Linked DNA regions of Notamacropus eugenii. The protein of the gene in region 1 binds, or shares a complex with, the protein of each later gene. Links are inferred from orthologs where the notes say so. Each region holds a gene or a part of one and is shown on either strand. Other genes may lie near its edges.

Region 1 (10,279 bases):
CTGAGTAGATTGTTCAAAAGGCAAAGCTGGACCAGGGAGGGGCCAACTTGGGGCATGACTCTAGTAGTGGAGGGTGGGGAGGGGAGGGAGTGGCCATCTGGTAGTTTCTCATTTTAGCTAATTATTCTTGTTAACTAGATGCTAAGCTCAATTGCTGCTAAAGGGGCACAACTGATATCTATGCCTTTTATGTTTCATTGCCTTGGGTTAAAATTCTGGTCATATCACTCCTGATTCTTTTCACTACATTATGATACCATCAAATAACAGGCTAGCTAACTTAGTGCTGCTGGATTTCATTGGAGGTAGAGCTCAAAACAGGGCTGGGGTGGTCTGAAAATGCTTCTCTTAAGAGGCACTTGAGTTGGGCATGGTGGTGGCCACTTATAGGCCCTGCTGCTGGGAAGGCTGAGGATGATGGATCTCTTGAGCTCAGGAGTTCTGAGTTTCAATGGACTATGACAATCAGGGAGTCTGAACTGTTTGGCATCAGTGTGGTGAGCTGCTGGGTTGCCTGGAGCAATCAGCCAAAATCAGAAACTGAGCAAGTCAAAGCTCCCATGCCCATCTGTGGTAGCAGTGGGCCTGAGAGTGGCCACTGTGCTTCTAGGCTAGGGAGGTGCAGTCTTTAAAAAAAATAAAAGAAAAAAAAAGAAAAGGGCACTTGAGCTAGACCCTGAAGGATGGTTAGAATTAGATAACTGGAAAGAAGGTAGGAGGGCATCCCAGGAAAGAAAGACCTATTGATAAGGGACTCTCTTGTATTTTGGAGACTGGCTGCAGCATGTTATTCCATTGGTCACGAGAGTTGACTTTGTGGATCTTGCTGAAAGGTACCCACTCCTCTCTGAAGTCTTCCCTGGGCACAATTGTATGAAAATTTTCTTAGGTCATTTTATTTGGAACTCTGTTTCCCCCATCATTTCAACAGATATACTCCATCCAGCTGTCCTTCTGAGCCATCTGGCTGCCTGTTCAGATGCTGCCCCCTCATCCTCTCTCCACCTGGATATGCATTCTCCAGATGGGACCTATAGAAATTTTGGCCCCAGGCTCTAGGGCAGTCAATCCACTCACCTTTGGAACTTCTGCCCTGGGACTGAGCTGTCTTGATTATTGAATGAGTAAGTGTAGACTCACCTAGCCAACCATACTTAACATGCCCCAACAGCAGATCCAACTTCAAATCCCATCTAGCCATCCTCCTTGCCACTATGTGGAGTATAATACTGCTCTTTTCTCCCTCTCCACCTCCAGCTCTGGGTACAGTAATCAAATCAAAAATATATTAAGCAGCTGCCCCATTCTCCTCTTGTGCCCCTCATCTTAGAATGAGAATGTAAGCTCTTGGAAGACTCCCTTCCTTCCTTCCTTCCTTCCTTCCTTCCTTGTTTCCTTCCCTCCCTCATTCCTTCCTTCTCTCCTTCCCTTCTTTCATTCCTTCATTTCTTTCTTCCTTCCTGGTTGTGAGAGATGGGAGATCAGATAAGAGCAATTTAAAATTTCCCACTGCCCCGTGTAATGGATGTAGAGTAAGGAAGACTTGGATTCAAATCCTATCTCAGACTCTAACTGTGTTATCCTGGGCAGGTCACTTAACATTTCTAGCCTCAGTTTCCTTATCTGTAAAACAGGGACAAGAGCCTATCTAAGAAAACATATGTAAAGTACTCTGCAAACCATAAAATGTTAGCTGCTATTATCCATTCACAGGTACAGAAACTTCCTTTACCATGGCAAAGACTCACAGAATCTCAGGGGGGAAGGCCATCCTCAGTGATCATCTAGTTCGGTCCTTACTTGAACAGGAATCCCCACCGTCACATCCCTGTCAGGTTGGCCTTCAAGCCCCTACTCAAAGGTCTCTTTGTGGCTTAAAAAGGGCTTCCTTACAGCAACCCTATAAGATTAGAAGCTAATTCTCTGGTATCTAGGTGGTACAGTGAATAAAGCCCTGGGCCTTGACTCAGGAGAAGATCTGAGTTCAAAAGCCACTTAAACTGAGAAAGTCACTTTACCTCTACCTCAGTTTCCCCAATTGTAAAATGGGGATCATAATAGCACCTACCTCCCAGAGTTGTTGTGAACATCAAATGAGATGACATTGTAGGTGATATATAAGCCCCTATTTCTTTCTTTACCACCATGTTCCAGCTGACAATACCCTGGACAATCCCTTGGGTGAGTTCCTCCTGGGAATTTATATTTGAGGAACCATCCATGCCAACCACAGGCTCACTTCAAACCCCACCCAGCTCAAGCATGGCTCATGGTTCCAGAGTGAAGAGTAACTCTCCTTCCCCTCCTTCTCTTTTCAGCTCCCTAGTATTGTTATCTTTCCCCATTAGAATAAAATTTCCCTGAGGGTAGGAACTATGTTTCTTCTTGTTTTTGTATTCTACAGCACTTTGCCCATACCTGGCATATTTTTCAGTTAAGTCTTTCAGTCATCCCATGGTGATCTCATTTAGGATTTTCTTAGCAAAGATATTGGTGTGCTTTGCCATTTCCTTCTCCAGCTCATTTTACAGATAAGGAAACTGAGGCAAACAGAGTTAAAGTGACTTGTCCAGGGTCACACAACGAATAAGTGTCTGAGGCCAGATTTGAGGTCTGGCTCATAGGAAGCACCTAACCAATGCTTGCTGACTTGAGGCATGTAGCATTAGTATCATCCTCCTCATTTTTATTCTGGGGGAAACAAAAGCCCAGACAAAGGAAATGACATAATATGTACATCGATTTAGAGTTGGAAAGGACTTTAGAGGCCATCTAGTCTAATCCTTTCATTTTATAGATGAGGAAACTGAGGTAGATCTTGCCCAGGGTCACAGGACTGGCAAGTGTCAAAGGTACAGTTAAAACTCAGGTCCTCCTAACTCTGTCCAGTGCTCTGTCCACTGTACCTCCTGGCTGTCTCTAGGACACCTAGGAAACAGGAGTTGAGTGAGCCTATGTGATTTGCCTTGGTTTACCCAGTTAGCAAGCGGCAAAGTCATGATTTCAATCCAGGTCTTAGGACTCCAAGTCCAATGCTCCTTTTGCTGCCTCATGGCACAGCTGTTGCTCAGATAGACTTTTCCCCCTTGACCATATATGTAGAGGGCATATGCATTTTTTTTTTCTTTCATACCTGTTTTTGCCAGGTGTGGCTAACCCTGGTGGTGTCTCGTGGCCTACCTTTTACAGTACTGTTGTTATAACCTTCTCCAGGCTGTTCAGCATCTCCGGGGCTGGCATTTCCTGGTCCTAGTGCCTCAGGGCTGGGAGGACTGTCACAGAGATTGGGGTTTGGTTCCTTCCCTGGCTGGTACTCAAAGAATGGAGAAGAGGGAGGTCAAATAGGGAAAGCCCTTAGGAAACAAATCAGCTTAGGGTGTCAGCCGAGATGATTCAGCGGCTGAGAAAGAGTGGTAGTTCTTTCTGCTGTTCCCCTACCCCAGCTCCAAGAAAATTCTTCCCTGGAACCCCTTGCTCTACTACTTCTTGCTTTGGGTCCTGAACATGGGTCCTCTCATCAGCTACTGACACCTCCCACTCATGGATGATTCATCGATTTTATAGTCCATGAGCACAATGGATTTGGAGTCAGAAGACCTGAGTTTGAATACTGCTTTGACATTGATTAGGTAGGAAACTATATATCAAAGGAAACTATATATCAATCACTACCCTTCTTTGGCCCTCACTTTCCTCTCGGTAAAACAAAGGGTAAAACCTGAAGGTCTCTAGTTGGTTTTAGATCCTTTAGATCTGCATTTCCTACCAGCTGAAATCCTCAAACTGGACTCTACCATGATCACGCGCCTAAGAAACCTCAATACCAGGAAATCCATCCCCTGCCTTTGAGATTGCATCAGCTTTGGAATTCACACTTAGTTCATCAGTGCCCTCAATACCCTATGCCTCTTGGATTGGAGCGCTAGAGCAAAGTACTCCTTCCCAAACCTCCATTTTAAAGAGAGGCTCTCAGGTTAGCAACTGCATTTCTCACCAGCTGCCCTACTTGGTCTGGGTTCCACTATCTCCCCCCACCCTCCCACCTTTGGTCGTCTTTTGGGTATTGTATTCTCCCATTAGATTGGAAGCTTCTTAAGGGAAGGTAGTGTTTTTCTTTTTCTAATTTGTATCCCCAGCATTTAGCGCAGTGTCTGGTACATAGTCCGTGCTTAATAAACGTTTATTGACTGACTGACTCACCAGCTCCCTCACCCCAATGAAAATGATTCCAAGATCTATTTATCCAGCCATAGTCTTTCTCAATCCCTGTGTCACCAAATACAACTTGGACATCTTGAACTGGATTTCCTCCCAGCTTTCTCAAACTCAGCATGTCCAATATGGAATCCTTGATCTTGTCTTGGCACCCCCCACCCCCATCCCTAATCTTTCCCTCCTTTGTACTCTCCTCTTACTGTCCAGGGCATCTCTATCTTGACTTTCTACAAGACTTAAGAAAGCTCGGATCTCACTTTCTGGAAGAGGCACAAGAGGTCTTTCTCCATTCCTCTCCCCCTGCCAAAAGGAAGGCACCTTTTGGAATTGACTTCCTCTTACATAGCATGTAAATAACATAGTTATTTGCATGTTGTCTCCGTTGTTACAATGTTAGCTCTTTGAGGGCAGGAACAATGTTTTTGCCTTTCTTTTTTTCAATCCTGAGTTTGGCACAGGGTCTGACACATTTAAGTAAGTGCTCCCCCAGTCACCCAGGCTCCCAACCTCTGTGCCCGCCTTGATTCCACTATCACCCTCAATCCCACGTCTCAATTGCCGCATCTCAAGATTGTTCTGTCCTACTCATTCAGTCACTACATCTGTGCAGCCTTGATCCCTTCACACCTGGACTATTGTGATAACCTTCTAATTAGTTCATCTCTCCCTACTCCAATTCTACTTCCACTCAGCTGCCCAGAGGATTTTCTTAAAGTGTCCCAGATATGACATGCAGTGGCTCCCTAGTACCTCCGGGATAAAATACGAACTTTACCAGCCTTCTTACACCTTGCTCCCAGCCATAATGGCCCTCCTGCTTGATCTTCCTTACTTATGCCTCCCTGCGCCATGCATGTCTTTGTACTCACTGACTGTCCCCCATGCCGGGGATGCTGTTCCGTCACCTCTACGCTTAGTCACTGGCTTCCGTCAAGACTCAGCTTCAGGTCCATCTCCAGGCTAAGGGAGTGCCTTTGGCTCTGAGATCCCCCTCCACGCACTCCCTATATGTAGCACGTGCATCTCTTGCTTTTGTGTCTGTCTCCCCCATTAGAATACAAGTTCCTTGAGGTCAGGCAACGTTTACGCCTTTCTTGGTATCCCTGGAGTTTAGCACATTGCAAGCCCTTATTAAACGCATGCTGACTGAGCTGCCCACCCTGTTACCTCTGTCTCCCTGCCCTTGACCCTTCAGGCGGTTCTCCTTACACCTTCCATTCAATTTCCACGGAAAGCTGAGGCACAGAGCCGTACAGATTGACTCTAGGTCCGATGTCCTGAGTCCAGACTTGGACAGTCGGCTGCAGCCCCCTGCACACCTCCCGGAGCGCCGCTAAGAGGCGCTGTGGCGCGGCGGACTCCGCCGGTGTTTCTCTAGCCCGCCGCGCCGGCAGCTCTGTGGTACGTATAAAAGGCGGTGCCGGGTGGACGGTGGGCTTAGTTCGCTGCTGCCGGACCTGGAACCTAAGCTACGGGGGATCAGCAGGAGCCTTAGGGCCGGGGGCGCCGAGCTGGGGCTACGCTCTCTCGGGGGGCTCTCTCGGCCCTCTGGAGCCGCCCCCAGCAGCCGGAGCCCCTTCCCCGCCTCCGCACCCCGCCCTTTCTCGGGGAACCTCACCTCGGCACGCCCGGCCACCGGCCTCTTCCCCAGCTCCGGGGCTGCGCTCACCTGCCCGGGGTCCCGGTTTCCCCCTTCCCCTTCCCCACTGGGGGGTCCTAGCCTCCCCTCCCCCACTTCGGGGTCCCATCCTCCCCTCCCCTTCTCCACTGCGGGCTCCCAGCCTCCCCTTCCCTTCCCCACTGGGGGGGTCCCAGCCTCATCTCTGCCCCCTCACCAGCTTTGGGGTCCCAGCCCCTCTCTCCCTCTCCTCAGTCTCGCTTCCCTCTTCTACCTCCTCCTTTCCACCTGGCCTCCTAACTTCCCTTCCTCCCTCTCCTCCTCGGTGGAGGGGAGACCTAGCTCTCTCTCCTTGCCCATAGCTGGGAATCCCAGTCCTCCCTCTTCTTCCCTCTCATCCCCTCAGCTCCGGGATTCCCAGGCTCCTCAGCTTTCTTTTCCTTTCCTCCCTCATATGGAAATCTGGTCCCCTCTCTCCTCCTTCCCCCCTGGTCTGTGCACATCCCTTTTCACCCGACCCCACAACTCTCCTCCCTCTAAGAAGAGCAGTTCCTTATCCTTTTAAAACATGAGCTTGCCTTAGTAATCCTTGTTTTGTTTTGTCTTTATTCCATCCCCCGCCTCCCCTTACTAGTTTATTTCTTTTCTTGGGCTCTCTGATTTCCAGACTTCTCCCTAGATTCTTTGCTGCCTATGTCCCAGACTCTGCTTTTCCCTTGTTGAGGTGGGAGGGACCCTCCCCTCAAAGAACAACTTAAGAAGATGACAGGGCCTGGCTTCTGTGGTCTCTCACCACTCCGGGTGTTCCCCTCCGTGTTTGTGGTGGCTGCCCTGCTGGGGCTGCTTCCAGTACTGAGGAGCCATGGGCTGCAGAATACAGTGACATCCAAAGTGTCCACCATGGGCTTGTACATAGGTCCTGGGGAGGGGGATGTCACCTCAGCTCCACCAGAGGTCAGCCACGAAGTCCACCCGATGACCAACTATTCGGGAACCGTTCACGGGAAGCCACGCAAGCCTTTCCCTGTCCTGGGCATTGACTACACTCACGTGCGGACCCCCTTTGAGATCTCCCTCTGGATCCTGCTAGCCTGTCTGATGAAGCTGGGTATGTTGTGTGACTTCTGTCTAAGCTGGGTGGTAGGGATTGGAGGATGTACTGTGCAAATAGAATCACCCCAGTGGGTTGGGGAGAGCTCCCCACTGCCCCAGCCTGGGGTTTTTGAGGCCAACTGTCAGAAATCTATAGTCCTAATTCTTTCAGCAGGGCTGTTTTCTCTGACATTACTGAAGGGTCCAGAGTCTCTGACAGGACTGCATGGGCAGGCCTAAGGGACAGATTTGGTTGTGCCTTCTGTGTGTGTGAAGGCTAGTGACGCTTTCACTGGGGTCCGAAGTGCCAGATGGTTATTTGGTGGTGAGGAATGTGGTCTTTTTTGTTTCTATTTTTGCTGTGAATACCTTCCATTTTGCCTAGTGGCAGTCATCTATGGGACTGAGGCCCTGGGTGGTTTGTATTTCTTTTCTGACTTACTTGAATCCCAGGTGGACCCCGTGCTTAGGTGGTCTAGGACTCTTCTCAGGAGTTTGTTTTCCCATTCTCAGCAATCCTCTGCCCATCTTGGGAACCCTAAGACATCTCAGCCACTGGGGCTTTAGGAGTTCAGAGGTTCACTGAAAATGCAGGTGTTTCCTGTGTCCATGTTCCACTTCCCAAGATTTAGCAGTCAGCTTTGCATCCTGGCCTGATTGGGAATAGCCTGGAGATGATTTGTGTGTCTATAATGCTGTCCTCTGTTCAGCTTATGGGGCTGGGTAGACCTTGGGAATTTCTGAACTGGATATGTGCTTGGGGAGGAGTCTGCCTCATCTTGGCTAGTTACCAGATCAGTCCCAAGTGTGTACTTAGCTGTTTCTTAAAACTCAGCCTGTGCCTGGCCATGGTGCTGGCCTGGGAGCTGCCGGAACTGGATGGATGGGTGAAGGTCCTTAGCACTATGGAAGGGACATCCTGGTTGGAGAAGTGATTGTGGGTGGCTGGGGAGGATTAGTGACTGAAAAGTGGCTCCTTCCTGAAGAGGCCCAGGTGAACTGAGCCAGTGTCACATGGGTGATTGATGGACCAGCCTGTCTGGACCCTGTGATGGCCAGTAATCCCTGACTGATTTTGCATCAGGGAAGCCTTTTAAGCTAGTTTGGCCCTGGGCCAGCTGTAGGAGTTTTGGTGACCTGGATGTTCCAGGGGCTTGGTGGAGAACCTTCCCAAGGACATGCAGGAGTGATGTCAGGATGTTGGGTTTTAGATAGTGATGCAAAAAGGTAGTACTGACTTTTCTGATTCACTGTATAGCTAATTTGGTATAGGAATATGATATGCACCCAGGCAAGATGGGCAGAGGCCCTGCTGCCTGGGACCCTGGTCCTAGTTTACACTTCCGGCGCCTCCACTGCAGCTGAATTTCCTGCAGGCAGCAGCACCTACTTATGAGGCAGTAGTCTGGAGTCAAGCAGCCTCAGCTTCCAATCCAAACAATCCTGTGACCTTGGCAGGATGGAATTTCTCTCTGCCCCAGTCTCACCTTCTGTGAAGTGGGAATGATTCTTGAGGTAGAGACCATGCCAATTGTCTTATCAATCAGTTTAATCCATCGGGCATTAAGTGACTGGTGTGACGATGCAGTTAGATTAAAGCTGGCCTTAGAGTCAAGTCCTGCTGCTGACCCTGCCTGGCTGAGTGACCCTGGACAAGTCCCTCACCCTTCAGTGTTCTCAGCGTCTCTCTTAAGATGAAGTTACAGGACAGTTGCCTGGCATTTTCTTACCAAGAGTTCTCTGTGTCAGTGGAATCACAAGTCTAGCCCAATAATAAATGAGCTTGGCAGTGTACTTGGTGCCAGAGATGACAAGAGGAAGACAAAATGAAAACCCATTGCCTTCCAATAGCTTATGTTTTGCAATATGTAAATGTAATTTAAGGAGGAAGGTGTCCTTTGGAGATGTAGTGCATGAGGTGATGCTTGAAGGGAACCGGGGCTTCCCAGTGGCCGATACTACTACCTGGCATACATGGTAATAAAGGACAGTACAAACTGTACTGTCCATGTACAAAGGCATGGATGTGAGCGTTAAGGTTCTGGCTTTGGGGCACCTTGATGTGACTATGATGTGTCCGCCTTTTGAGTCCATGAAAACAGACTTCAGCGGCACGAACATAAGTATAAGTAAAAAATCTTTCCCTCCTCCCATGGACACATTTGGGCAGGGCCTCAGTGTGTGAGGCAGGGCTTAGCACTCACTACCACTTCTGCAGGTGCAGCTGATTGAAAAATAGCCCAGGAACCGAGTGTGCCTGCAGCTCTTGGCCAGTCTGCAGTGTCTCCTCCAGGCTTAGGTTCTAAAACCACTGAATCTCCGGGTTGAAAGGGTCCTCATGTTGTTCAGTTGTGTCTGACTCTTTGTGAGCCCATTGGGGTTTTCTTGGCAAAGGTACTCAAGTGGTTTGCCATTTCCTTCTCCAGTTCATGTTACAGATGAGGACACTGAGGCAACCAGGGTTAAGTAACTTGCCCATGGTCACTCAACTAGGAAGTGTCTGAGGCCAGATTTGAACTAAGGAGAGGAGTCTTTCTGACTCCAGGCCTGACACTCTATCCACTGTACCACCTTGCTGCCCCTTGGGGCAGGAGTGAGGAACCTTCAGCACTGGGAAGCTATGTGTGGCATCCAGGCTTTAGGTTCCCCACCCCTGCCCTAGGTTCTCATACCCATACCTGCACAGAAATGCCCTTCATAGCATCCTAGATGAATGGTCAGCCAGCCCTCCCTGGAGGGACCACTTGCTACCTCCTAAGGTGGCCTATTCCGCTTGGGCATTGTAATTGTAGCAAGTTTGTCCTGCTATTTAATGCGCTCCTTTAACCCTTCCTTGTAGATCTACACTCTGGTTCTTGCAGACGATTTTCCTAATGCTTGATGACTGCTGTCATGTCCCACTAAGTCTTCTCTGAAGTAAACATACCCAATTCCTTTCTAATGGGCTTGGGTTGCTTCCCTAGCAGACCAGTCTGCGATGAGGAGGGGAGTCCCTAGGATGTTGGGGACTCCTCTCACAGGCTTGTAATGCATTGCCAGCCACACTGAAAAGTCCCTCTGTGACCTAGCATCATTGAAGTGTATGATTTAGGACTGGAAACAGACTAGATTTCCCAACCCTTCAAATTCTGCAGGGGAGGCACCTGGGCCCCAGAGAGAAATGAGGTACCCAGAGGTACACAGGGTCAGAGCTGAGACCAAACAGGCTTTGTGTTTTTGCCATCATCCAGTGGGCGAAAGGGGTATGGCCAATAGATTTAGGGGACCCTTCTGAGACTCTAGGATGTGAGACAAGTCCTCATTTCTATCTTCGCTTGCGTCCTGTTTTAAACACTTACCATGTAATTCACAAAT
Region 2 (9,633 bases), on another chromosome or scaffold:
CAACATCTCTTTCTTTGAGATTTTTCCATCACTGTCCATGTCGTAGAGTTGAAAAGCAACTGGATGAGAAAAAGAAAGTAGGATCAGGACAGGGATGGGAGCCTCTTCAGTCCTGGCCTGTCCTCTGCTAGAGGCCCTGCTGCCCCAGGTCCAGACCATGCTACCATCACACAGTGGCTGGAATGGAAGATCTGGCTCCAGATTCTGACATCTCAAGGCTGTGACTCCCCATCCTCTTTGGCAGTGTGGTTCTCTCTTGGCCATGCCTAGCTTACCAACTGTCTCCAGCGCAGATTACCACCCACCAGGGTCCCTTCCCCAGGACCTACAGGATTAAGTTAGACAAGCAAGTATGAGGGATTTGTGAGGGAATATGAAGGATCATTGGGGCTCAACTGGGGACATCAGAGTGGTACCAGCCACCACCCTTGCCCTAAGGAGGCTTAGTTCCCTCCCACCCTAGTCACTTACCCCTTCTGTCTTTTCTCACATCACTGCCCAAGAGTCTAGGACACCACCATTCTTCCCAGCCTGAGAGTCACCCTGACTCCTCCCTCCCCTTCCCCCCAAATATCCAACCAGTCACCAGCTGTGGTGGACTCCAGCTGTGCAACACCCCTTCCATCCATCCCCTTTCTCCAAGGACTCCTGGGCATCACTCTACTGAAGTCCTCCCTCATCACCTCTCTCCTGGACTCCTGCCTTTACCTCCTAATTGATCTCCCATCCCCATCTCTCCTCTCCAATTCAGCCTCCCCAAAGCTTCCAAGCCACTTGGTTTAAATCACAGCTCGGAGCAGGCATGTAGTCGGCCTGCAGTCAGCCTTTCCAGGTGTACTAGTCCTACCATTGCTTCCTCCACACACTTTCTGGTCTACTCCAGCTGGTGCAATGGAACCTTTGCTTATAGCACCTTCCCTCCTGACCTCTGTCCCACCTCACCCTGGATTCCTTCCAAGCTTGCCAAAGAGCTGTCTCCTTCCTGCCTGAGGTCTATGTGGATCTTCCCACCCTGTATTACCTGCTCTATCTTCTGGTAACTTTCCCCTGAAAGAATTCTAGCTTCTTGAAGGAAGGGCCAAGTTAATGTTGGTCTTCCTATCCCACTGCCTGGCATGGTGCCTGGCATATGCTTTGAGTGAACGAATGCCACACAAAAATTGTTGGATTGTGTGCGATCTCAGACAGGCAGTCAATTTCTGCCCGTTCCTAAGGCACCTGCTGTGTGCCAAGTGCTAGAGATGGCTACCAAGCCCCATTCTTGGCCTCAGCGAGATTCCATTGACACCACATCTATATCAACAGGTGCGTACAGAATAGACATAAGGCAATTTGTCTGCCTGGGCCTTAGTTTTCTCATCTGGAGAATGGGGAGACTACATTGTCTGATATCTGAGGTCCCTGCCAGCCCAGGCAATCCCAGACCTGTCCTCATGTTCCAAGGCCCATGCCACAGGTTGATAGAAGCCCCTTGTCTCCACTGACGGGGCATGGGGACAAGTCACTTTCCTATTTCTCTTCCTACTTCCCCACACATACCCACTCAGTCACTAAAGTTCCCTCCAGCCTGCCTAGACCCCTGTGGCTGACGCCTATGGCCTTCCAGATCACTCTCCCTCTTCCCAGGAAGTTCAGGAACTGGTCCAGTCTTCTCCAGCTCCCAGGCCTGGCCTTGTCCAATTCCCTGGTTACTCGCCTCCTCATCCTCCTTCACTCCCAAGATCTTTAATTCTAGTTGGCTTCAGATTTGCATAGGAATATTTGGGATCTGGACTCCGAGCCTCTCCTCACCCTTGCTCAACTGTAATTGTCCCTGTTCAAAATACCCTAGTCATGGCATGGTGAGGAAGCAACCTTGGTGTCTGAGGTCATTGTTCAGATGGGGAAATTGAGGCTCAGAGAAGAGAAGAGACACACAGAGGCGAGGAAACAAGGGAGGTTAACGGTCAAAATGAGGATGGAGTTTCAGGGGACATGATTTTCCATGATTCCCCCCAATTCTACTCACAACGCAGTTTGCTGTTGCGGCTGTTTAGAGGCTCAGGCTTCTGGGGGTCCTGAGCAGCTGAGTCCTTTCCTTCCAATGGTCGAAAATGGGCCAGGACCCAGACAAAGCCTTGGAAATCCACACACTGACCCCTGAATGAAAAAGTCAGAATACCCTCCCAAGCTTCTATCCCCAAAAGAGGTAAAGGCTTCAAGGTCTGGGACCCAGATCTTTGATCTAAGCAAGAAAGAGTGAACTCTAATATAACCCTTCATCTTGATCCCGAAGGGTCTGACCCTCGGGGGCTCTCATCCTGTCAGTTCTGTTTCCTAGGGCTCCCCCTTCTTCCCCAAGGCTCCATCCACTCACCCTCACCCAAAGCTCTGTCCTCACCCATCCGGGAAAAAGCTGTCGATGATCAGATCTGCCAGCGGGTTCTGTTCAAGTTCTTTTATATTGTATAGATCCATTCGACTGTTGGGGAAGGAGTGAGAAGTTTCAGTGTCAAAAGTCTGGTCGGGAGACTTTGGGAGGGGAGAGGGAGAATAGAAGAGAAGGAACATTTTCATACGAGGGGAAAATCCTGCAGCATGCTTTCACATTGAGCTGAGGGGTCACAGGGGACACTGGATCAGGAGTCAGAGGCCAAGGCGATTCAGTCAATGGCTTGAAGGCTGGGCGTCCCAGTCCTATATGTTTGAGGGTCATAAGGGTGGGGTGGACTCTGCTCACCTCAGGAAGCCCTTATTATTCCTGTCCAAGTACCGGAAGCGGTGATGGAGGCGATTGAGATTGGCCCGAGAGACTGGACAGTGGGAAGAGAAAAGAGTCAGAGCTGGGTGCCGAGGGCCGAGGAAGAATCGGTTGGACCAGAAGAGACTCAAGGCTCAGAATTCTGGACTCAGGGATCAGAGGGTTCAAGGTCAAGATTTGGGACTGACTACTCAGAGACTGGGGGTCCCAGACTCAGAGTTCAGGATTTAGGAGACCAGCAACGACTCAAGATCCAGGAGCAGAAAACCAGGGACAGAGAGGCTGGAGCAAGAAGGGTTGGGCTAGGTGGTGGTGAGGCGGACGAGAATATATCAGCCCGCTTCCCCGGCTCAGCCCGCGCCCCACTCCCTCCAAAGCCCTCGGGGAAGGTGACCAAGAGAGCATCCCGCCCCACGTCCCCGCCAGTCCCCTTCAGCCGTTGGGGACTCTGGCGACAGGGAGCCGGGAAGCCTGTGTTTGGGTCCCAGTCCAGGCTCCTACTTGGGGATAGGCGGAGCTATGTCCCAGCCCCTCCACCCCAGTCCCTGCCAGTCCTTCAGGGCTCTAGGAGCCTCAGACACTTGGGTCCGCAGCAGTCCCACTCACAGCCGGTCTCCTCTAGGATCAAGTTCAATTCCGGCTCTCGTTCGAGGTGCGAGCCATGAGATCCCATGGCTGTGACGGTCCCTAGGTCAGGGCAGGTCCCGAGTCCAGGGTCCAGGGGCCTGGGGTCCCGACCCAGATAGGCTCAGGACAGAGTCCCACGTAGAAGCTCTGCCTCCTACACTCTCCCCGAGAACCCAGGCGTCACCGCAGCCCCTTCCTTAAGCAGTTCCTCTCCCTCCGAATGAAGACGCCGAACCCTGGAGAACGAGTTCCCCTCTCTGAGTTCGGAAGGTCGGAGGAGTCATCCAACTGCCGCCAGGCCATGCTGGGCTCGAGAATGCATTTAGGGTTCTCCCACATGCCTCAGTCGAAGTCCTCCAGTGCTACGGAAACAGAGGTTTCGCCTCAGTCGAGCCCCGGAGGAGAGAAAGTGAGGGGGTTAGAGAGAGCCAGAGCGGTATTCAGGACTGATCAAAAGGTGCCCGCTGCCAGACTTGAACAGGCAGAGGCTGAGAAGGGCACTTTACAGACGGGAAGCAGACCAACTCCAGAGGGGAAAGGGTTTGACTTGGCCTAAAGACCAGTCCGAAGCCTATCCCTCCCACAGACTCGTCTAAGCCCTCACCCTAAAAAGACCCCGATAGGACCCACCCCCCCGCCCCTCCAAGACTGCTTCCGACCTGCTCCTTTAAGACTGGAAGCACGGTCAGAGGGAATCTGAGAGACAACATGGCCTGCCAATGATCGAGAAGCAAAAACAAACGAAGAGAAAGACGAAAACGAAACAGAGACAGAGAGACACACTGGATGACAGAGAGAGATGCGCTGAAGGGAAACACACAAATACAATGGGGAGAGAAAAGAGCTGCTCTCATGCTCTGTAACTGATCAGTTCTCCTGAAGCCCGGGGGCGTTTGTTCTCTCTCTGTCTCTCTGTGTCTCTGTCTCTGTGTCCCTCTCTCCTCTCTCTCTCTGTCTTTGTTTCTCTGTGTGCGTCTCTCTCTTCCTCTTTCTCTCCCTCTTACTATGGTTTGCTCTTAGTCAAGGCTCAGGATGTGAGGAATGATTCAAACTTTTGTTTCCATAGAAATTATGTAATATATGATTTATGAAATCTAGGGTATTGATACATACTGGGAAGTTTTTTGAGTTGCAAGTGCAGGAAAATAAATTAATTGTAGAAGACTAACAACATAGACTAGTACTAGATTATCTTGTAGCCGAAGAAGAGGGAAAATTGAGATGTAATGGAGAACTTTGTTTCCCTAAATTCAGAATAACAGTCAGCAACATGGGAGACATAAGGAAGGAGTTATGTCTCACACGTAGGCTAACAGGCAAAGCAAGGATCCAACTGGTTTTTATCGTGTTTTGGGTTAGAAGTCAGCTAAGTAGAGGAAAAGTTAAGTCTTGCTTGAAATGCTCATGTCTATTAGGAATATTAACCTCCTCTGGGAGAGCTAAAGCTTCATTTTAATGGTCTTACAATACATGAAATGGGAGGGGAAAACATGAGAGGGAGAGCTATGTAGTAGGCATAGGGGAAAGTTGTACTCCCTGTATTACCCAGCCAAGGAGGAAACAGGAGAGGGACTTTGTGGGTGGCCACAGGTTTTTAAGGTTTACTTTTGTTTCTGGATGGTGTGTCTATTTTATAAGCCACCATCACTGCAGTTAGCTTAATAAACTTTTCTTTTATCTTCATGCCTCCCAAACCTGAATGTGTTATTTCTCACAAGGAGACAAAAGGAGAGGTTTTGGCCCTGTACCTGCAATGGAATAACAGACTTTCAGAAAGATAGAAGTGTTCTGTCCAACTCATCTGAGACATGGAGATAAAACAGAGAGGCAAAGATCTGAAATATAAAGGTCAGAAGAAGAAAGGGAGGAAGAGAGAAGAGGAGAGAGCCAGGTGGGCAGGGAGAGGGAGCAGAAGGGATTGAGACTGGGGAGGGAAGGAGAAAGACACAAGGACAGACAGAAACAGGCAGAGTCCTACAGAAGCAGGAAGAACATACAGAGAAGCAAAGGCACAAAAGAAATTTTTAAAAAGACATAAAAAGAAACTGGCAAAAACAGAGAATAAAACTAGAGCCACATGAGATAAAGAAACCAAGTCAGAGCCAGAGATTTGGCAAGAAGCAAAAACCCCCAGAGAAGAACAGGAAAAAAAGCCCCAGGAGATGCTCAGATGTCAATAATGGTCACCAACTCTCAGAGTGAGAAGGGAGCTGAAGTGCCTCCAGATTTAGGGAGACCTGAAAGACCCTCCCTCCCCCTCCTCCTCCTCCCTCTCCTCTTCCTTTCTCCCTTCCCCCTCCTCCTCACCCCTCCTCCTCCTCTAGCTTCACTGAGCTAGCCCATCCCACTTTGGGCTCACTCTGATGAATGGTTAGAACCTCCCCCACCCCTACACCAAACCGAGGTTTGCCCTTTTCACTGTCTGGTTCCCTCCCCCAAAATATTCCCCTGTCTGTCCTGCCCTCTGAGGGCAAGCAGAGGAGCAATTCCTCATCCATCAGCTTGTCTTCAAGGGCCTGGAGGACAGATAGTCATCCCCAGAAGTTTCCTCTTTTCCAGGCTTAGCATCACAAGTCCTTGGGTTGCATTTTAAAATGTCTCTGAGGCCCCTTCACCTTCCTAATTGTCCCATCTGTCCTCCTACGCTGGGACACCCCTTATTGAACACAGCATTCCATGTGTGGTTGGACCAACCCAGGGAACAGTAAGAAAGGTGATCCCAAGATCCTCTTAATGCAACTTCAAGGAGCATTACAGTTAGACTTGGTTTCCTACACTGTCTTGTAGAGAAAGCATGGTATGGTAAAGGAAAATGAATGAAAGAATGTATAAATGAATGAGTATCATTGTGATGAATACTGTGTGAAGTATTGGGGCAGCTGGTAGAGGCTGGTCCAAGTGGATTGTTCCATTTTTAGGACTCTTCATTTAGTCATTTGGAAAACACAGGGGTCAATCAGCTCTCCAGTTCAGCTGACATTACTCTTAGCTTCGAAAGAATTGGTGTTAACTACAGCAGAGTGTTTTAACACATTGTTGTCTCCTTGAGATGATAGATAGTGGCTTTAATAATGAATATTTGAAAGGGAACTTAACTGTATTTTGCTCTGTTGTGCCAATAGGACACTGGGAAGGAAGTCCAGAGCAGCTATAAAATTGTTAGAAAATCACCCTTTTGCAGTAGGAAGACAAGAAGAAGACAGCCAGGGTGAACAGCTGTGAATCGTGGTTTGGCCTGGTTAACGGGGTGTGTCCAACCCCTGCTGGCTCTGTGACCAAGCGAGCCAGATAATTCTCTGATATTGGCAATGCAGGTGCCCTTCCGCCTTGATAGGAGAAGATCCCTCACCGAGAATTTTCCTCCACAGATGAGATCACAAATCTAGATGAAAATAACAACAGAGCGAGCAGCAACAGCAACACGGCTGACCCCAAACCCTTCTCAGCTGAATGGCTGTCGAGTCATACTTGGCCATTTTACTTTAGCCATTCCTGGCTATCTCACACTTTTGTAACTTTTCTTTCTCAGCCTTCTTTGCTCAACCTCTGTCAACTATGTGATAGTTGTGGGTGTCCCCCAGGTCTCTGTCCTGAACCTGCTTCTCTTCTCCTTCAATTTTACTTGATGATCTTATCAGTTCCCATAGATTTATTTCTTCTCTTTATGCTGATAATTCTCAAATCTATTTATTCAGCCTTCAGTATTAATTCAGTATCTCATCTCCAACAAGACATTTCAACCACACCCAAGACTGAACTTAGCACCTTTCCCTAAAACGTTCCCCTCTTCCTAATTACCAAGGAATCCCAAATTCCCAATTATTATCAAGGGTACCACCGGTCCCACTTACCTAGACTCTCAATTTAGGGGTCATCCCTTCATACAGTCACATCAAGTCCTATTGTTTCTATCTGTAACATCTGTCAAATATGGCTCTTTTTCTCCTCTGCCCCTTATCACCTGAAGCCTGGACTATTGAAATAGATGCTGGTTGATCTTTCCACACTTGAATCTATCCTTCAGCTGTCCAACTGATGTACCTTAAAGCCTAAAGTCTAATCATGTCATTTTCCAAGTCAGTAGGGGCTCTCTATTACTTCAGGGATTGAATATAAAATCCTCTATTAGTCCCCTCCAACCTTTGCAGCCTTCCTACATCCTATACCCCAGTATGTGTCCTGTAGTCCAATGACACTGATGGCTCTCTTCCTGGCACAATGTGCCATCTCCTAACTTAAACCACTTTCACTAATAGTTTCCCCCCCTCCCCTTCCTCACCCCTGCTTCCTCTGGTCCTCTTGAATCTTCATATCTGCCCTTGGTTGAGTATGGCCAGCTTCTCCTGGCTGTAGCTTGTTTGCATGAGTTTTTTCATGTTGTCTCCATGAGAGCAGAGACTGTCTTTTACCTTTCTTGGTATCCCCATTACTTAGCACAATGCCAAGCATATAGTTGGGGGCTTCACAGATGCTTGCTAACTTGTGCAACTAATTTACTGGAGCCCAAGTATCAGACTTTACACTTGTCATTTTTGACAAGAAATTGGAGAGAAATAAGCAACCACAGAATCGTCCCAGCATTCGAAGGACTTAACATTCTACTTACTGGGAGTCGGGAGAAGAGAGGATGTGTCTTTTCAGAGATGGCAGTGAATCCACCAACCTGATCATTTGGCAATGGAAGTCTGACACATTCCTATCTGGAAAGTTTCTTTCCCTGGTAGTCAGTGTGGGGGGAATGACACACTCGACATCAGGAAGACAAGGATTCAAACCCTGCTTAAGCCCTTGTTAGCTTGTGTGATGGTGGGCAAGCCACTTTCTCCATCTGTCAAGTGGGTATGATCACACCTCATTCACAGAGTCATCAGAGGAACAAATGAAAAAAGTCTATCTTTGCAAGTTTGAGGCACCATACGGATCAACTCTTAAGGCCCACAAGTGAGCACCCACTCACTCCTAGAAGGCCTCCAGGAAGCCCCACTTTGAAATGGACTGCATTTTCCCAGAATTAGGTTTAGATTCCATGGTCGTTGAGGTAACTCATTCTGTGCTCTTGTGCATGACCGGGGCTGCAACACAGTGATTATTCCTCATGTCCCATACAAGAAGATCTTCAGGAAGGGCAAGGTGCAGCATATGGACTGTTTGCCACTTTTTCTTCTTATAATTGGACAGAAGTATTGATAGCATTCGTTAATTGTGAGGATGACTCACAGAACCCCATTAGGGTTAGGGATGATGAACAAACTGGTTGCCTGGGTCAGAACTGAAGAAGAGCTTGGCAGGCTAGAATATTTGGAAGCATCTAGTAAGATGGAATTGAATGGATTAAATTTAAAAACTGTTACATAGATTGTGGAAACATTTGAGCTTTTGGTCTACTTTTCTCAATTGAGTTACTGTCTCATCCGGGTTTTGAATACTTTTCCAGTTCATTTGTTCAAATGGTACTGAATCCACCAGATGATATTTTAATCTCTGTCTCTCCACCCTTTCACGAGGATGCCATGAGAGGTTTCTATCACATGCTGTGCTAAAATTTAGATGAAATTTACATATCACTATGTGAAAAATGGCACAAGTAGAGGAATGAGAGGAAGCAGGGTGACCAATTCAGAGGCCATTGAATCATTAAAGTGAGAGATAACGAGGGACTGAACTAGGGTGAAGACAACTAGGTGGATATCCACAGTGGATAGAGTGCCAGGCCTCAAAGATGTTTTTCTGAGTTCAAATCCAGCTTCAGGCACTTAGGAGTTACAAGTTTTATCTTTCCATATAGGGATGTAAACAGTTTTTGAATTCCTTATGATTTCTCTTTTCTGTTTATCTTTTTATGCTTTTCTTGAGTCTTGTATTTTAAAGTCCATTTTTCTGTTCAGCTCTGGTCTTTTTATCAGGAGTGCTGGAAAGCCCTCTTTTTATTACATGTCCATTTTTATCACTGAAGGATAATATTCAGTTTTGCTGGGTAGGTGATTCTTGGTTAAAATACTAGGTCCATTGTCCTCTGGAATATCATATTCCAAGTCCTTTGATCTATTAATATAGAAGTTGCTAAATCCAGTGTAATTATGACTGTGGGTCCACAAAATTTGGATTGTTTTTATAGCTATTTGCAATACTTTCTCCTTGATCTGGGAGCTCTGGAATTGGACTAGAATGTTCCTTGCAGTTTTCATTTTGGTATTTCGTTCATGAGGTGATTGATGGTTCTTTTCAATTTCTATTTTGCCTTCTTGTTCTAGGATATCAGGGCAGAG

The links. Proteins that work in one complex are often made in the same cells at the same time.
Region 2: the proteins of SLC9A1 (region 1) and CHP2 are in contact, whole or in part, in a crystal structure (PDB 2BEC), measured with the Homo sapiens proteins. The link is inferred for Notamacropus eugenii from reciprocal best matches to the Homo sapiens genes SLC9A1 and CHP2. Residues at the interface, in NP_003038.2 of Homo sapiens: Ser517, Ile518, Asn519, Glu520, Ile522, His523, Thr524, Gln525, Phe526, Leu527, Asp528, His529, Leu530, Leu531, Thr532, Gly533, Ile534, Glu535, Asp536, Ile537, Cys538, Gly539, His540; in NP_071380.1 of Homo sapiens: Arg30, Arg34, Leu38, Leu51, Ile54, Ala56, Leu57, Asn60, Pro61, Leu62, Ile66, Phe70, Phe83, Leu87, Phe90, Tyr118, Ala119, Leu122, Tyr123, Met136, Val139, Leu140, Met143, Ile156, Arg159, Thr160, Glu163, Ala164, Phe177, Ser180.

Annotation. Positions count from the first base shown.
Region 1 is NC_092876.1:68,266,356-68,276,634, reverse strand, and holds the start of SLC9A1 (sodium/hydrogen exchanger 1), read left to right. Parts: upstream 1-5,638; 5' UTR 5,639-6,595; coding exon 6,596-6,941; intron 6,942-10,279. UniProt on the Homo sapiens protein: Electroneutral Na(+) /H(+) antiporter that extrudes Na(+) in exchange for external protons driven by the inward sodium ion chemical gradient, protecting cells from acidification that occurs from metabolism.
Region 2 is NC_092874.1:489,501,526-489,511,158, reverse strand, and holds the start of CHP2 (calcineurin B homologous protein 2), read right to left. Parts: upstream 4,517-9,633; 5' UTR 3,414-4,516; coding exon 3,347-3,413; intron 2,793-3,346; coding exon 2,720-2,792; intron 2,462-2,719; coding exon 2,381-2,461; intron 2,140-2,380; coding exon 2,009-2,139; intron 60-2,008; coding exon 1-59. UniProt on the Homo sapiens protein: Functions as an integral cofactor in cell pH regulation by controlling plasma membrane-type Na(+)/H(+) exchange activity.